2 linked regions of the Mytilus edulis genome follow. The protein of the gene in region 1 binds, or shares a complex with, the protein of each later gene. Links are inferred from orthologs where the notes say so. Each region holds a gene or a part of one and is shown in the gene's direction. Other genes may lie near its edges.

Evidence for each region. The genes of interacting proteins can lie anywhere in the genome.
Region 2: THO complex subunit 6 homolog (region 1) and SAP domain-containing ribonucleoprotein-like share a complex: the UniProt entries of both Homo sapiens proteins name them as parts of the transcription/export (TREX) complex. The link is inferred for Mytilus edulis from reciprocal best matches to the Homo sapiens genes THOC6 and SARNP.

The regions. Positions count from the first base shown.
Region 1 is NC_092349.1:58,726,204-58,734,109, forward strand, and holds the start of THO complex subunit 6 homolog, read left to right. Parts: upstream 1-4,888; 5' UTR 4,889-4,974; coding exon 4,975-4,977; intron 4,978-5,143; exon of another isoform or gene 5,144-5,272; intron 5,273-5,387; exon of another isoform or gene 5,388-5,482; intron 5,483-7,906. Other genes in the region: serine-rich adhesin for platelets-like, read right to left, coding at 4,040-4,053. UniProt on the Homo sapiens protein: Component of the THO subcomplex of the TREX complex which is thought to couple mRNA transcription, processing and nuclear export, and which specifically associates with spliced mRNA and not with unspliced pre-mRNA.
Region 2 is NC_092345.1:85,205,212-85,212,408, forward strand, and holds the start of SAP domain-containing ribonucleoprotein-like, read left to right. Parts: upstream 1-4,190; 5' UTR 4,191-4,287; coding exon 4,288-4,311; intron 4,312-7,197. Other genes in the region: uncharacterized protein, read right to left, coding at 3,802-3,968. UniProt on the Homo sapiens protein: Binds both single-stranded and double-stranded DNA with higher affinity for the single-stranded form. Specifically binds to scaffold/matrix attachment region DNA. Also binds single-stranded RNA. Enhances RNA unwinding activity of DDX39A.

The DNA.
Region 1 (7,906 bases):
GTGTTTGGCCTTTCACTTTTTCCAACTGATTTCTTTTTGAGGAAACCCTGTATTTATTAGCAATGTTCTCGTTAAGGTACGCACACACGCCCGTGTGTTCTACGGCTTCCTAAAAACACTGGCTGAGTCTTGTTATCATCATAACTTTTCCTCAGCTTTTCAAAAGAAGCAGAAAACATGCTTCTATTCAATATTTTAACCGAACATTCACTTTTGTTTTAATTCAATGTATGTTATGATAAATCCCGAGCAATGCGAAAAAAATATGACTACATGACACACACTAATTGGATAGACGTCGAGAAGATCGATATGTTTTCAAAAACACGTGTACCTATTGAGCAACGGCAAACTCTAAAAGGGACCTATTTCAGCTACTTGATGCAGGGATCTATTTTTAGAACGAAAGGAAATTTCCAATTATAAATATTATAAAAAATAAAAATAGTTTACGCTACGACTGTAAACAGATAAGGGTAAACAACGCAAATGGTAGCCAATAAAAGGGTGGAAAACTCATGGTTTTGGAATATAATTGGGTTTTCCTTTGAATTAATTGGGTTATTGAACCCTGCAATGGGCAATTGCATTGGGTTTTTTATTATTTGTATTGCATGATCACGCAAATACGCAGCTTATCTGGAGCTCTGAAGATACAACAAATCGAACAAACCAATGAGTTCAAATGAAGTAAATGTATACATTTATAAGCAACCATACAGCTTTCAACAATGCGAACAACCCATACTAAATGTATCATCCTATATTGTCACTTTGATTCTTGTATATCAGTCATTTCAAAATAAAGTACAAATTCGGAATCTGAACTTTTCCAAAAAAAAAGTTAAAATAAATGCAAATTAATTTAAAAAACCAATAGCATATTGATTTGTTAATATTTTTTCAAAATATGCAATCTTACCAACACCTGAGAAAATTTTATTTTAAAATTGTGTGCAGGCTTGTGTCAGATTTTGTCCATCCTGTTACTATTTTTAACTGATAGCAAAAGTGATAATAGAAAAGAAAATATCCAATGAAAAGTGTGGCTCACATTTGCATAGCAGTGTTCATTTGAAATCACATTTACATTTATCATTTATGTAGATTACCCAAAAAAAATCTGCAGATAGTCGGTACGTTCAGGAAAATCATCACATTTCTTATTTTTCAAACACTCTTAAAAAAATATTGTGGAGACAGTGGCATTGAAAATTTACTAGTATGTCCCTTTTCAATTATACTAACTGGAAACTTAGTCAATAGATCAGTTATGTTGATTGTAAAAATTATTTTACACATTTTTTGGGGTAACAGGAACGAACAAAGACAGTAACAGGGAGGACAAAGTGGTAACAGTAGAGACAAAACATAATTTGGGTCACGAAAATCAATAACAAAAAACTGGATTTTGAATTTCATAGGGATACGAACGGGAGATATAAGTAAATAAACATTATACACGAACCATTTATACGTGTATCAACCCTGTCTGGGTCAAACAAACAAAACAAAACAAAAACAAATGAAAAATTGTTATTGGTGTTTTTTGTTTTTTTCGTTAAGTATGAAGTAAGATTTTGTTGCCGCAAGTCGTAAAAATCAGTACATAAGATGACATGCCTTTCTGTGAACTACCGCTTTTAAGACCAAGTTCAGCATGTTGGTTCTTATTTATTTATCATATTCTCTTCCTGAATATGCCTTTAAGTGTCCACTGGAGGCTAACCAATCAGCAGAACAACCACCCATCGTTCCGTCTTAGAGAAGGTTGAAGATAGGCGTAAAGAGCAAAACTAATTTCATATGTTTAAAAACATAAGGACAATTTAAAGAACACAACAATACAACTGAACGAAAATTCAAATTATTTTTTTTCTTATTGTCAATGATTCTGATATACATGTATCTAGTTTCTGACACATTTTAACACTGAAGGCTTGTCATTCTTGGATTTCTGGATCATCTCGATAAGTTCACGAAGAGGTTCTGATTTTATTTGGATTCGGAATGATAGCCAACATTCTGGAAGTTGTAGCAGCGTCTCTCAATGATTTTGACAAAGAAAAGCACGGAGGCGTCCAAAAAAAAGGGGGGGGGGTATGTCATTATAAAAATTAATAATACACACAGATTTGCCGCTGGTGTGCTTATTTGTATTTGGAATGGCAAATATATCAATGACCTGCAACTTTAAGAAGGCAATAAATCAATGGGTAGAAATTCTTATATCAATTAATGGGTCGACCCATACGTACATGATGTGCACCTACTGTAGACTAAAATTGGTGTTCTAATATTTGTATCTCCTAATATCATCTCATTTAAGTAAGAGAAGGGATTTGCACATAGTTATTTTATGAATAGGGCAGGGGAGTTCAAACCACAATCGGAGGTATAATATACCCACATTTATATGTTGTGCACCCCCCCCTTTTTTTTTGGAATAAAAGACATTCTTTTGTGTCATGAGTGTTGCTGTCGTCTCGCAAGGTCTGTATCTCTATTTGCCTGTAACGAGAAAGTATCATGTCTCTAAGAAACCAGTACAAAAGTTGGCAAAACATTGCACAATTAATAATGTAGTCCATCCTGTTACCAGTCAAGGTAGCACTTGACTTGTTCTAGAAATACCTCAATACAAATGTACATTTTATGAATTAATATACCGTACGGTAATAAATATGCGTAACAATTTATTTGCGATAATGTAAGAGGCATTTTGAGTTTTCTTACACAAAGTATGTCTATCCTGTTACCATTTTTGTCCCTCCTGTTACCAATGTCTTTGTAACAGGAAGGACAGTAACAGGATGGAAAAAATAGTACATAACTTAAATTGGTTTTATAATAGTCGCTCCCTAATAATTGATGTAGTGTTTTTATACTTCCGGCCCATGCCTAAGTTACGGTAACAACCGTTTCATTAGTCTTATGCAATTAAAAATTATCTATCAACTGGTAACATTAAAGACATTATAAAAAGGTACGCATACATCAATACCTACCGATCTTTTGATTCTGATGACCAAAATCTTTCCACATAAAAAATTTCACCATGTCGTTATGTCCTGTATCCACGCCTACGACGTCACCATAAAAAACCGCCGTTATTTGAGGGAGAAACTAGTTTTATTCCGTAAACAAATAAATAGTAACAGGAAGGACACATATTGATGAACAGACATTCCAGTGACTGTGGAATAAAAGTTGTCATGATTTGAAACATGGAAAGTTATTTATTTTTAATTATGATGTTACTAAATGAAGAAAAATCATTCTGTTTACCTTTAAATGCAGTTTTATGTACAGATAATTTGAATGCAAATGTTATTTATCAAAAATGAACGCATGGAAATTGGCGAATTTTCATACTTAAACGAATATAAAAAAAAATATGAAACTTTTTGCACACTAATATTTGCATGTACTATCTTGCACAATATGTAAACTCTTATGTTAAATTGAAAAAATATGTCAAACTTACAAATAAAACAGACAATAGACATTAACCGAAAAATGTACATTTTTTTGAAATGACTGATATCATGTATATGGTGAACTTAAATGTGTACTTTAAAAAAATCTTATCTTTATTTTTGGAGTTGGTAAAACTTCATCAGAGAATTAATATTAAACTATTTATCTATATTTTCATACATCAATCAATGTCACAGTGGCGGATCCAGAACTTTTCATAAAAGGGGGGCAGCTGACTGACCTAAGGCGGGCCTGCTCCAGTCATGCTTCAGTGATTCCTTATATAATCAACCAAATTTTTCCACGAAAAGGGTGGCCCGGGCCCCTTCCCCCTGGATCTGCCTATGAATGACAATATTATATATATTAAAATATCAACTTTTTCTCTGAACATGATCTCTAAAGGACAGGCCATATAGTAGCCTTAAATCTTAGGATTCAGGATTCAATATTACAAATAACTTCTTGTATATAAATGTTCATATGAACATGCTGTTTTATGATGATATTATTGCTTATTCATATCTGAAAACTTCTGTCAAATTATTACGTTCTTTACCCAACAACGGCCATTTTCTAGTCATATGACTTTCACTTTGTATACAAATTTTTATCACGTGATTTTATTCTATTTTGAGAGAAAGTATAATATAATACATATTACTACAATAAGAATTAACTTTACAGTTGATGTCTGTTTCTTTATGTTAAAGAACATGATTTTAATCATTCTAACTCCCGGGATAATATAATTTATTGGTTTTTTTTTTTATTTAATTCCGGATTTTTACCCGATTTCGATTTTTTGTTAGTCACCGGAACTGCGGGAAAACCAAGAATCCGGGTCCGTTCGCCCTGATTCTCGTTCGCCCTGGTATCTGTTCGCCCTGATTCCTGTTCGCCCTGATTCCTGTTCGCCCAGGGTCCATTCGCCCAGGGTCCATTCGCCCTGATTTTTCATTTGTTCTAATTGTTCTAGTTTCCTAATTTTAAGAGTATAATACTAAATGAACTTGTAAACAAACATGTTTCATGATTTACAGTTCGTACATCATTGTTTTTATTAATTTCAAGCTGAATATTTTATCAAAAGTTTTAAACAAAACGTTTGATTTTTATTAATAATCCATCAAAAGACAAGTATCAAAATAATCAGCGATGCGAATTATTTTGTCATTGAACAATTGTAATGATCCTAAACAAGCCATAAACTTTAACATATTTCGCGGTTTCCATAAATTTCAAGAATATATACCATAGAAATATCTGAATAAGTTTATTCAACTTCAATGCCCTCAATATTAATATTTTTTTAGTAGGGCGAACGGACTATATGGGCGAACGAACTCAGGGCGAACATACCCAGGGCGAACATGTTATTAGGGCGAACGGTCCCGATACCGAAAACCAAACGAAAACAAATCAACGTGCAAACTGCCAAAAGTTTACATATTACCAGTTCACTGGCGAATACAAATAGATTCAAAATTGAAAATGGTATAAGTTTCGTATGAAAACTTGAACTTATTTCTAAGCTCTGTTTAAGGGCTAAAAAGATGGGCTTGATATTGAAGTGTTATTTGCCATTTTGGCCGGTCTCGCTGAGCTCTACGGTTACCCCAGGGGTTAATACAAGCTATACTTAGTGTTAGAGTGCCCTTACCTCTCTTCTAGGTGTCAGTCCCAGCTAACCTTGTCAGGTCCCAAATTTCAGGCGCATTGCCTTGCTCGCTTCGCGTAAGAGAGGGATGCACTTGAAGTAGAGGCTGGAAGTACCTATAGTCGCCGTCAGCTGAAATTCGTAGCGGTTATCGGTAAAAATAATCTAAACTATCAATCGCGTTTCACTCGAGATATAGTTTTTCACATTCCATTCATAAATCGCAAAAAGAAAAACCACTACTGACCTACCTTTTAAGTGATCGCACTGTAACAATCCTGACCTTCACTTTTTCATAGACGATTTTGAATGGTGGAATCAGCCATTGTTTTTACCGGAAGTGTTTCCGTGGAGTTCAATTTCATAAAATTTGCATAAAGCGCGGGAAACCTTATCGCATCAATGAAAGGAACATTTCAGGAAACTGCGTACTGTGACGAATGTCATATGTAAACAAATGATCCTCATAGAAACGAAGATGGCGGAATTACAATGGAAAATATTCCCGAAAATGTGAAGGTCAGGATTATTACAGTGTGATCACTTAAAAGGTAGGTCAGTAGTGGTTTTTCTTTTTGCGATTTATGAATGGAATGTGAAAAACTATATCTCGAGTGTACGCGATTGATAGTTTATATTATTTTTACCGATAACCGCTACGAATTTCAGCTGACGGCGACTATAGTCCAAATAATTATGACGTCTTGAAAGGCTATTATAATTTTTTTCTTTGACGCCTTACTTCAACGTCGAAGTAAGGCGTCAAAGAAAAAAATTATAATAGCCTTTTATCATCGGTATAAAGACATCATTCGTAAATATAGCTCAACATGCAGACTTCTAATACGTTCAGGTATTTCACATCCAATTTTTTATGTAAATATTCTTTATAAAGCACAAAGGTGTCAGTATTCACCTCAGAAACTTACAAAACCTTTGAATAGACTTATTAATAAGGGATATAATTACGATCCTGTTGTCAAGTCATTAAAGATTGCATATTTTGGCGTTAATATTGAGTCACTGATAAGGTCTTTGCATCGGAACTAAACACATTTATTCTAAAAACAGTTGTTGGCATGACACGGGTTATGTTCTTCTCATATATGTTATGATGGTATGATACTAAACCCCTAACGGGAAGGATTGTGCCTGATGTTCATATGATGAAATCATAATCTTTCAGTCAGTTTATTTGAAGTCTGGAGCTGGCATGTCAGTTAACTGCTAGTAGTCTGTTGTTATTTATGTATTATTGTCATTTTGTTTATTTTCTTTGGTTACATCTTCTGACATCAGACTCGGACTTCTCTTGAACTGAATTTTAATGTGCGTATTGTTATGCGTTTACTTTTCTACATTGGTTAGAGGTATAGGGGGAGGGTTGAGATCTCACAAACATGTTTAACCCCGCCGCATTTTTGTGCCTGTCCCAAGTCAGGAGCCTCTGGCCTTTGTTAGTCTTGTATTATTTTAATTTTAGATTCTTGTGTACAATTTGGAAATTAGTGTGGCGTTCATTATCACTGGACTAGTATATATTTATTTAGGGGCCAGCTGAAGGACGCCTCCGGGTGCGGGAATTTCTTGCTACATTGAAGACCTGTTGGTGACCTTCTGCTGTTGTTTTTTATTTGGTCGGGTTGTTGTTTCTTTGACACATTCCCCATTTCCATTCTCAATTTTATTTTAAGACGTCATAATTATTTAGACTAGGAAGTACCCAACTGTTACCCTTGCGTCATGTGTCCCTTTCAGATCCCTCGGTGATGTACCAGTACCCTTGTTACATGTTGGGGAAACCCCCTAGAACTACGGGCCAATTACACTACTGTATATTTTTTTTATTTTTATCAAAGAAATCTAACAAAAACATTTCATATACAATAATACAAATGATTGATTGATTTTACTCTGATCTCCAACGGCTGTTTTGCCTTACCTGCTATTCCCATATCAGTAATTAGATATTTTCCCATCCAATATAGATGAGCTGCTTGGATGCTTCTGAAGTTCTGTCGCCGACAGACTGCCTTTGGTCCATATAAATCAGATCTCAATTTGATAATTTTTCATTTATCTTTTCATTTATATTAGTTTCATCTTCCTGCCACCCTTTATTTTCTCATATTTGGACAGTTTTCACAGTGACCCAACGATTCCAGGATTATCATTATCACACACTATCATTTTCTATGTGCAAAGAAACGTAAAATTGGGGTCAAAACTTTAATTTGGCAAACAAATTAAAAAGATCATATCATAGGGAATGTATACATCCTAAGTTTCAAGTTGACAAAATTTTCCTTGACCAAAAACTTTAACTTGAAGGTTGAAGGATAGGCAGACTTACTTAAATAAGTGATTTTCTAAATCACTGATTCAAGTAACATTATTTCCATAAAGGTTGGAAGTTAGAGTTGTCTTTCTTTAATAATCACCTATTTAAGAAGTAAAAATTAATCACTAGAAGAAGTGATATAATTTTATTGTAGCTTTAAATATAGAATACTAATGATCCAGGGACTAATTATGTTTCTAAACTTATCAGAACCAACATCTGTGTTGTCTAGGATGACTAGGTCATTTCAGGTGATGACCTTGTACTGAATCTAGGATAATGACATAAAAATCACTTGTTTAAGTATCAGACCTCAATTTCCTTCCCAAAAATCACTTCTTTAAGTATCATTCTTTTAATAACCCCCATTAATTTCAACACCCCCGAACAGTGAAATTTTTATCACGAACAGTAGAATTTTATTA
Region 2 (7,197 bases), on another chromosome or scaffold:
TCATTTTTGCTATTAAAAGTATCTATCTATCTTTCATAGTTTGAAAGATAAACATCAAAAACACAAAAAGTCGGTAAATATAGTCATTAATGAACAAGACCTCTTTCAGCAAGGAGTCAAAGAAAATTTCATCCAGATCAATTTGGTATTTGAAATGGCTATCTATCTGTAATAGTTTTCAAGATAAGGGGCAAAACACTAGAAATGGGTAATAAATTGTCACTAAAAGGCAGTAAATGAAATCAGGAGTCTACTAAAGAATTCGGCCATTAGACTTTTTTGTAGATCTTATCTGACTGATCATTTTTGCTATTTCAAGCTTCTATCTATCTATTGTAACTTATAAGATATATGACGAAAATGGGGGAAAAAGTGGTAACAATTGCCACTAAAGGTCAGTAACTCTAATAAGGTATCTTAACAAGAAATCTTACAAAATTAAGAATTAGTTCCCACCCTTTTTTGATTGAAAAGGGCAGATATTTCAGACCAAAATTTAAGAGAGAAAACAGAATATGCTTGAACTGTAATCAAATAGAGGATGAAAAACATAACCTTATTTATTGCAAAAAAATTTAAAATTATAGAAAACAACTATTTAATCAAGATCTGCGCCCTGAAAAAGTTATGAAAACCATTATTAGTTTAATTAACCCACAAAATATTGATGATACAAAAAATATATGCCATTACATAAAATTAATTATGCTTTGAATCTTTGTAATTTTATTCATTTAACCTTGATTTGATATTTTGTCAAACATGATATATATGTATTTATGTGATGTAATATCATGTTAATGTGGGGGAAGACATCATTAAGTCTTTCCACTTTTCTGTGGAAAGACTTATTGTTTTTCTTCTGATTATTATTTTTTTTTTCCGCCAAATTTTGTTCTTGCGATAAATGTTTGTTTCGCAATATGTCGCTTAGATATTTCTCATATGGTATCGTATAGTTTACGCGCTTTTAAATTTTACCCTGCTAAGCCGAACCATTTTCTTTGTAAGAGTTATCTCCCTATTCACTGTTTATCATCTGTGTGCATCTCCTTCGTAACAAAAAAAGATAGCGACAAAATTCTTTTTACAAATTGTTCGTTACATCCTCAGTAATTTTTGGCGCATTTGGAGCGAAGCGATTCGATGAAATTTTATAGGAGTTATCTACCTTTACAAAATAAATTTGTCGGTATGTTTATTTAACTCATAAACCGTTAACTGTATAACCCTGGAATGTTTTTATTTGAGTCCAATGGGTCCCAACTTAGAAAATGAGGTCAAGGTCAAAGGTCAAGGTCAAGTTCTAAATTGTGACTTTTGCTTGTTTTTGCATTTTCTCCGACACTTTGAGAGATACACATAAAAGAACAAGTGCAAATGTCAGCTTTATTGTAATGAAGATATGTTACATTTAGTCTTATACAATTAAATGGCATCTTATAGGAGTTGGTGCCCCTGAAATGTCTTGATATGAAGTTATTTGATTATAACTTCAATTAAGTTCATTATAAAGACATTTGACCTCATACAAAAGGTTAAGTGACTAATGACCTTGAAAAATGGCTACCGGAAGTGACCTTTAGAAAACCGGAAGTAGCTATTTTTGCAATTTCTTTCACCTAAAAGTACCCAGAATCCATATATTTTGTCATATAGATACATGAACAGATTACTGAAGACTAAAAATGACTTCCAACAAACCGGAAGTGGCCAATTATCTCCCATTCTACATACAAAAGTATATAGAAACTATATATTTTTGGAATCAGTGTGAAAGAAGCTATCATATGAGACCGGATGTGACATTAATTTCACCGGTAGTAGCATATTATCTCCCTTATATCACTCAAAAAGATAATTAAACCATCATTTATCGCATCAGTATAAAGAAACTACCTTCTTATCCAAATTACTTTAGTTTGGAAAGACTTTCAATTGTTCTCTGAACAATTGGTTTTTAATTATACTTGTATTGATTTTCCTGATTTAATAAAAACTTGTATCATCGGACGATTTCAACTACTAAACTTATGGATCTTGTGTTGCTGATAGTTTTCAGTTTTCTGATTTATGTTTCAATCTACCTATTTTAATTTTTCTGACATTAGACAATTTTTTTTTAAATCGTCATTAAAGGGCTATTACTCCAATCAGGAGTCGTCTGACGATTTTGACATTTTTTGTAGATCTTATCTTGCTGATCATTTGTGCTTCTTACCGTTTCTCTATATCTATTATAATTTCAAGATAAAAGATCATAATAGGCAAAAATGGAGAAAATAAATGATAAAATTCTTCGCTTTTAAAAGGGCAAAATCTATAGACATTAGGTAGATCAGCATTGTAAACTCGCACCTGCAAAGTGGAAAGGGATTAACATAAGTTGCAAAACTTATTTCACAATCCACTATAAATAAATATGTTTAAACTAACCATGTTCAAGAATATTGGACATTTCCAAGCGAGATAACCCTACATTTTTTTTTAATAAAAACTCTGATAGTTTTAAATTGCTCACCGAGATATATAATTTATTATGACAAATGATATCTCGTATGTGTATTAAAATTAAGTCTTTATAATTTTGGTAAATTGACATAACCTCGGTTTTGAATGTATCTGTGTTATTCAATTGTTCATTTTCCCCCCGAAATATATCATGGTCACAGTATATCAAATTCATAAACTGTCATTTTGATTGCATTTCAAAATGCAGTTGACAACAGAAAACATTGAGTTAAAAAAAAATCTTGATAATTAGATTGTTTCATCATTTTTCAATCTTATCTGCTATGGAAAAATTAACTGCGACGAATATCGGAATTTTTAAGAATTTTTTTAAGTCAAAGGTACAATAACCACAATAGTAACATAGGGAAAAAAGAAAAAAAGTATGAAGGCTATTTTCAAATGTCCATTGACAACAGTAAACGCTGACTTTATTTTTTTTTTTTTTTTTTTAAGTATCATATTTGGAAATCCTTCTTAAAGTTCACTTGCTATGGACATTTTTTATCACGTTTTTTGTAAAAAAAAGATATTTTAAAAATCATAACAGGGTATAAGTGTTTTCCGTTTACATCAATGATAACTATAAAATTTATAAGATTTATCTAAGACATAGCACGTGTACTGATTAATTTAAAAATTTAAATGTCCTTCATTCTTGTGTATGGGATGACGGACACCAAATGTGTGAGAAGTGAACTTCGTTTGCTATTTTCTATAAAGTTTGTCATGGTTTAAATCAATCACTAAATTCCAGAATCTATAAGAATAAAACACAGTGCATTTTTGAACAGATAACTAAAAATTCATTACACAAAAGTTTAACAAAAAAAAAACCCCGAACTTGCAAAACATTTCGGGCTTTTCTCGTGTTAATTGTCGAAAAAAATAATAGAACCCTACCTTACATTCAGGAGAAGAGGGTAGTTAAAAGTAAGATATGAGAAAATCGGAAGCTAACTGATAAAAGTGAAAAGTCAACAGAATTAAACTGTGACTTGATTGATGAAGATAACCTGAGTCGTGTGTGTAAGAATGCAGTCACGGATTGATTGGAGAAAAAGAAGACATGACTGAATGAGCCATGTAGATGAAAGGATTTGTGTCTTTTGATTTGATTAGGGACTTTCCGTTTAGAATTTTCCTCAGAGTTCAGTATTTATGTGATTTCACTTTTTTTTCGCAAACAGTGACGGTTCCTTTCCTGACATGAAATCAAATCTTATTGAGTCAGCAAAATAATTGTTAGACTCTGAACCATGTTGCTATAAATAAAAAGAACAAACTTACGCAGGGGTTCCATCCTTTTTCGCCAATGGAGTTAAATCAATTAAATGTCCAGAATCTGTTAGACAAGAACATGCTGATTTTTTAGTGCAACTCTTTGCTAGAACGTTCGAACTACATAGAATCAAAATGATACAAACACATGAACATCCAAAGGTAAATTGTAACATTTTGAATTAAGTCAACTTACACCTAAATCGTCATGTGATTATATTGATAATAGATACGAGAACTGAGTTTCATAGGGCTTTGTTACGTGATAACACTTTAATGTAGATAAAGATCTGAAATGAGAGCATAGGACGTTGGACTAATCAATTACTCGACACGTTTCGTTGACTTGGGTCTATATCAATAGAAAAATTCGTTATTTTGTTACTATTTTTATTTGTATACATAGTAAGCAAGTCCGGATCTTTTTCTGGTTTTTCTCGGTAATGGGCGGAAGTTTAAAATTGTGATTTCCGGTTAAATAAAAAGAAAAACACGATGGAAGACTTGAGCACTTTGAAGGTTTTTAAAATAAGTTTCTCCACAATCATAAACATAATGCGTTAAAAAAAATAATGTCAAAAGTAATCATGATAAAAACTATTCTCATATGGCGAGAATCGGGGGTCAATTTGTCATTTTGGGAGCATGGTTGAATGTTCATGGAATGGCAAAAATGAATTTGTATGACAATACACCTTATCGCTAATCCCGGCTGACCCGGCCGCTTGAACTTTTGACGTCAACAACAATCACTTTTCCATTGTGGCGTCAGATATTTTGTTTTATGACGTCAAAATTTTAGGGGAACCTGTGTGATTTCCAGCAATGGCGGACAAATAGCGATAAGGTGTATGAGAGTAGGTGCCCTGTACTGCCAGGTGTCAAACGGCCATTTTCGGTTATCGTTTACGTTAGCGTCAAATTGGTTGACATTTTATCGTGATTCATCAAAATAACCTTATTGTGATTCGTCAAATAACCTTATTGTGATTCGTCAGAGGTCTCATATTTTTTTATCGAGGGTGAAGCCCTGTGGAGGGTCCAGGGGGGGCTTTGCCCCCTGTAAGCTCCTGGGTTTAAGGAAAAGGAGATACTATGGTCAAATTAATAAAAAATAACTTGTAATTTTGGCATTTTTTTTTCAATGGTGTAGCTTTGATGTGTTACCAGAAAGCCTAAAAAAAATAGTTTTGAAAATGTGATGTACAAGCATAAATTTCAATCCTCTTGGTTCAGTGTCTTTTCCTGCAAGACACCGACTGTGACTGTCACATGTACAAGAAACATATTATTATATTTCATGAATAAATATTATAATTTATCATAGGCTGCACCCATACATCATACCATATTTGCATTTTGACTAAGATGTTTTTATGTGTAACAGTATAAATATTTACATTCTAATTATATTTTTTATGACAATCAATGAAAAACATTCATGGCTTATCTCCACTGACAATAAAACATTTACCCTTGTATTTTGAGGGACGAAAGTTATCATGCTTAACAGTAACACTTTGGTATTTTTGATAAGTAAAGTTCTATGTACCGTAGTTTAAGTTACTTGGTAAGAGAAATAAGCCACTAATTTTTCTCATTGGACCCTGTAATTGAGTACTTAAATACAAATATTATTATATCAATCTGATTTATTTGATTCTATTAAAACATGTTGTTATTTTCATTTTGTTCATCATCATCATCCTCATTATCATCATCATCTATATACATTTTTTTGATTGCAGCCTGCACTTCAAGCCTTACCTCCTCTCTGTCACTTAAACTTGTAAGAGAAACAGGCTCTGTCTGTACTGACATGTCTTGTACTTCAGTAATATTTGGAATAGGATTTTGTTCGTTTTTCATTCTACAATTTTGTTTTACTGCAAGTTTCCTCCTGTTTTAAGTTCCTATCCATGTTTCCACTGCTTTTGGTACAGTGAAACCTGTCCAAACCGAACACCCATGGGACTTTGTGTTTTGTTCGGTTTTCACAGGTGTTCGGATTGTGGAGGTAAACGGAAGTGGACAGCAAAATGATTTAGACACTGACGACGGACACCAAATAATACACCAGACGACGGACACCAAGTAATACAACAGATGACAAGTATTGTCGTGTTGGTTTCAATATAAAATAAAATAAAATATATCAAAAAGTTATTTTATAGATGCAGAAAAAACAATTACAATTTTTAATGAACAATAAAGTGCAAGTTCAAACTGTTAATCGATCTCATTGTACAGAGAAATAATTATCCAATGTTGTCTGACGTGTAGCTAGTTTGCTTTTTACAATCAAGTCCTCGGTCATTGAAATCATTTGTTCCGTTTGATCTAGGTAACGGCTATCCTTAGAAATAGAAAAATTGCGCAACTTTGTCAATAAATCCAAAATGTCAGTATGGTTCATATCGGAACCGGGTTGAACCTCTGTTGGAATGTCTGTGTCAATATCTTCGTCGGATTCGATTAAAGTATCTCCAGTAAATTCCCTGATTAAGTCCGTTTCCCACTCACTATCAAATGCTGATTCGGTGGCCAAATTGTCATCAACATCGTCAGCTTCTGTAATTTGTACACTCGGATCCCTTGACCTTAATTGTTCCACTAAATCGGCTAACGGTATGTCGTCATCCGGGTCTTCAGGCTCATCTACAATTGTTGGGGCCTCTAAGGGGAATCCCGCATCACGAAAACATGATTCAATTGTTGTGGATTTAGTTTCGTTCCACGACTTCTTAATCCAGTGAATGGCTTTTAAAACGTTTATTTCTTTGCAAAGTTCAGTAACTGTATTGCAGTTGTCAATTTGTGGCAGTAAATGTTTGATCATGTGCTTTCTATATCTCGCTTTAAAGGCACGAATAATACCCAAATCAAGTGGCTGTAGTTTAGAAGTCGTATTTGCTGGGAAAAACTTCAATTCAACATTACTAAGCTTTAGATTGTGCGAGTGAGAAGTTGCATTGTCAAGGAAAATTACGATTTTCCTAGATTTTTTCCGCATGTCCCGATTAATGTCCTTTACCCATTCAGTGAAAAATGTGCTATTCATCCAGGACTTTTTGTTAGCCTTCCAAGTCACAGGAAGCGATTTAACATCCAAATTGCGAAAACATCTAGGTTTATTAGCGTTACCAATGACTAAAGGTTTTAGTTTCTCGCCTCTGACACTACAACACAGCATAACAGTAAGCCTTTGTTTTGACATTTTACCCCCTTTACATTCTTTCCCACGCTCCGCTAATGTCTTGTCAGGAAGGGCACGAAAGAAAAGGCCTGTTTCATCAGCATTGAACGTATCCCTTGGGTCATAATCTTTAACAATTTCGGGTAATTTACTTTTAAATTCTGCAACAACGTTTAGATTCACATCAGCACTTTCCCCGCAAACTTTGA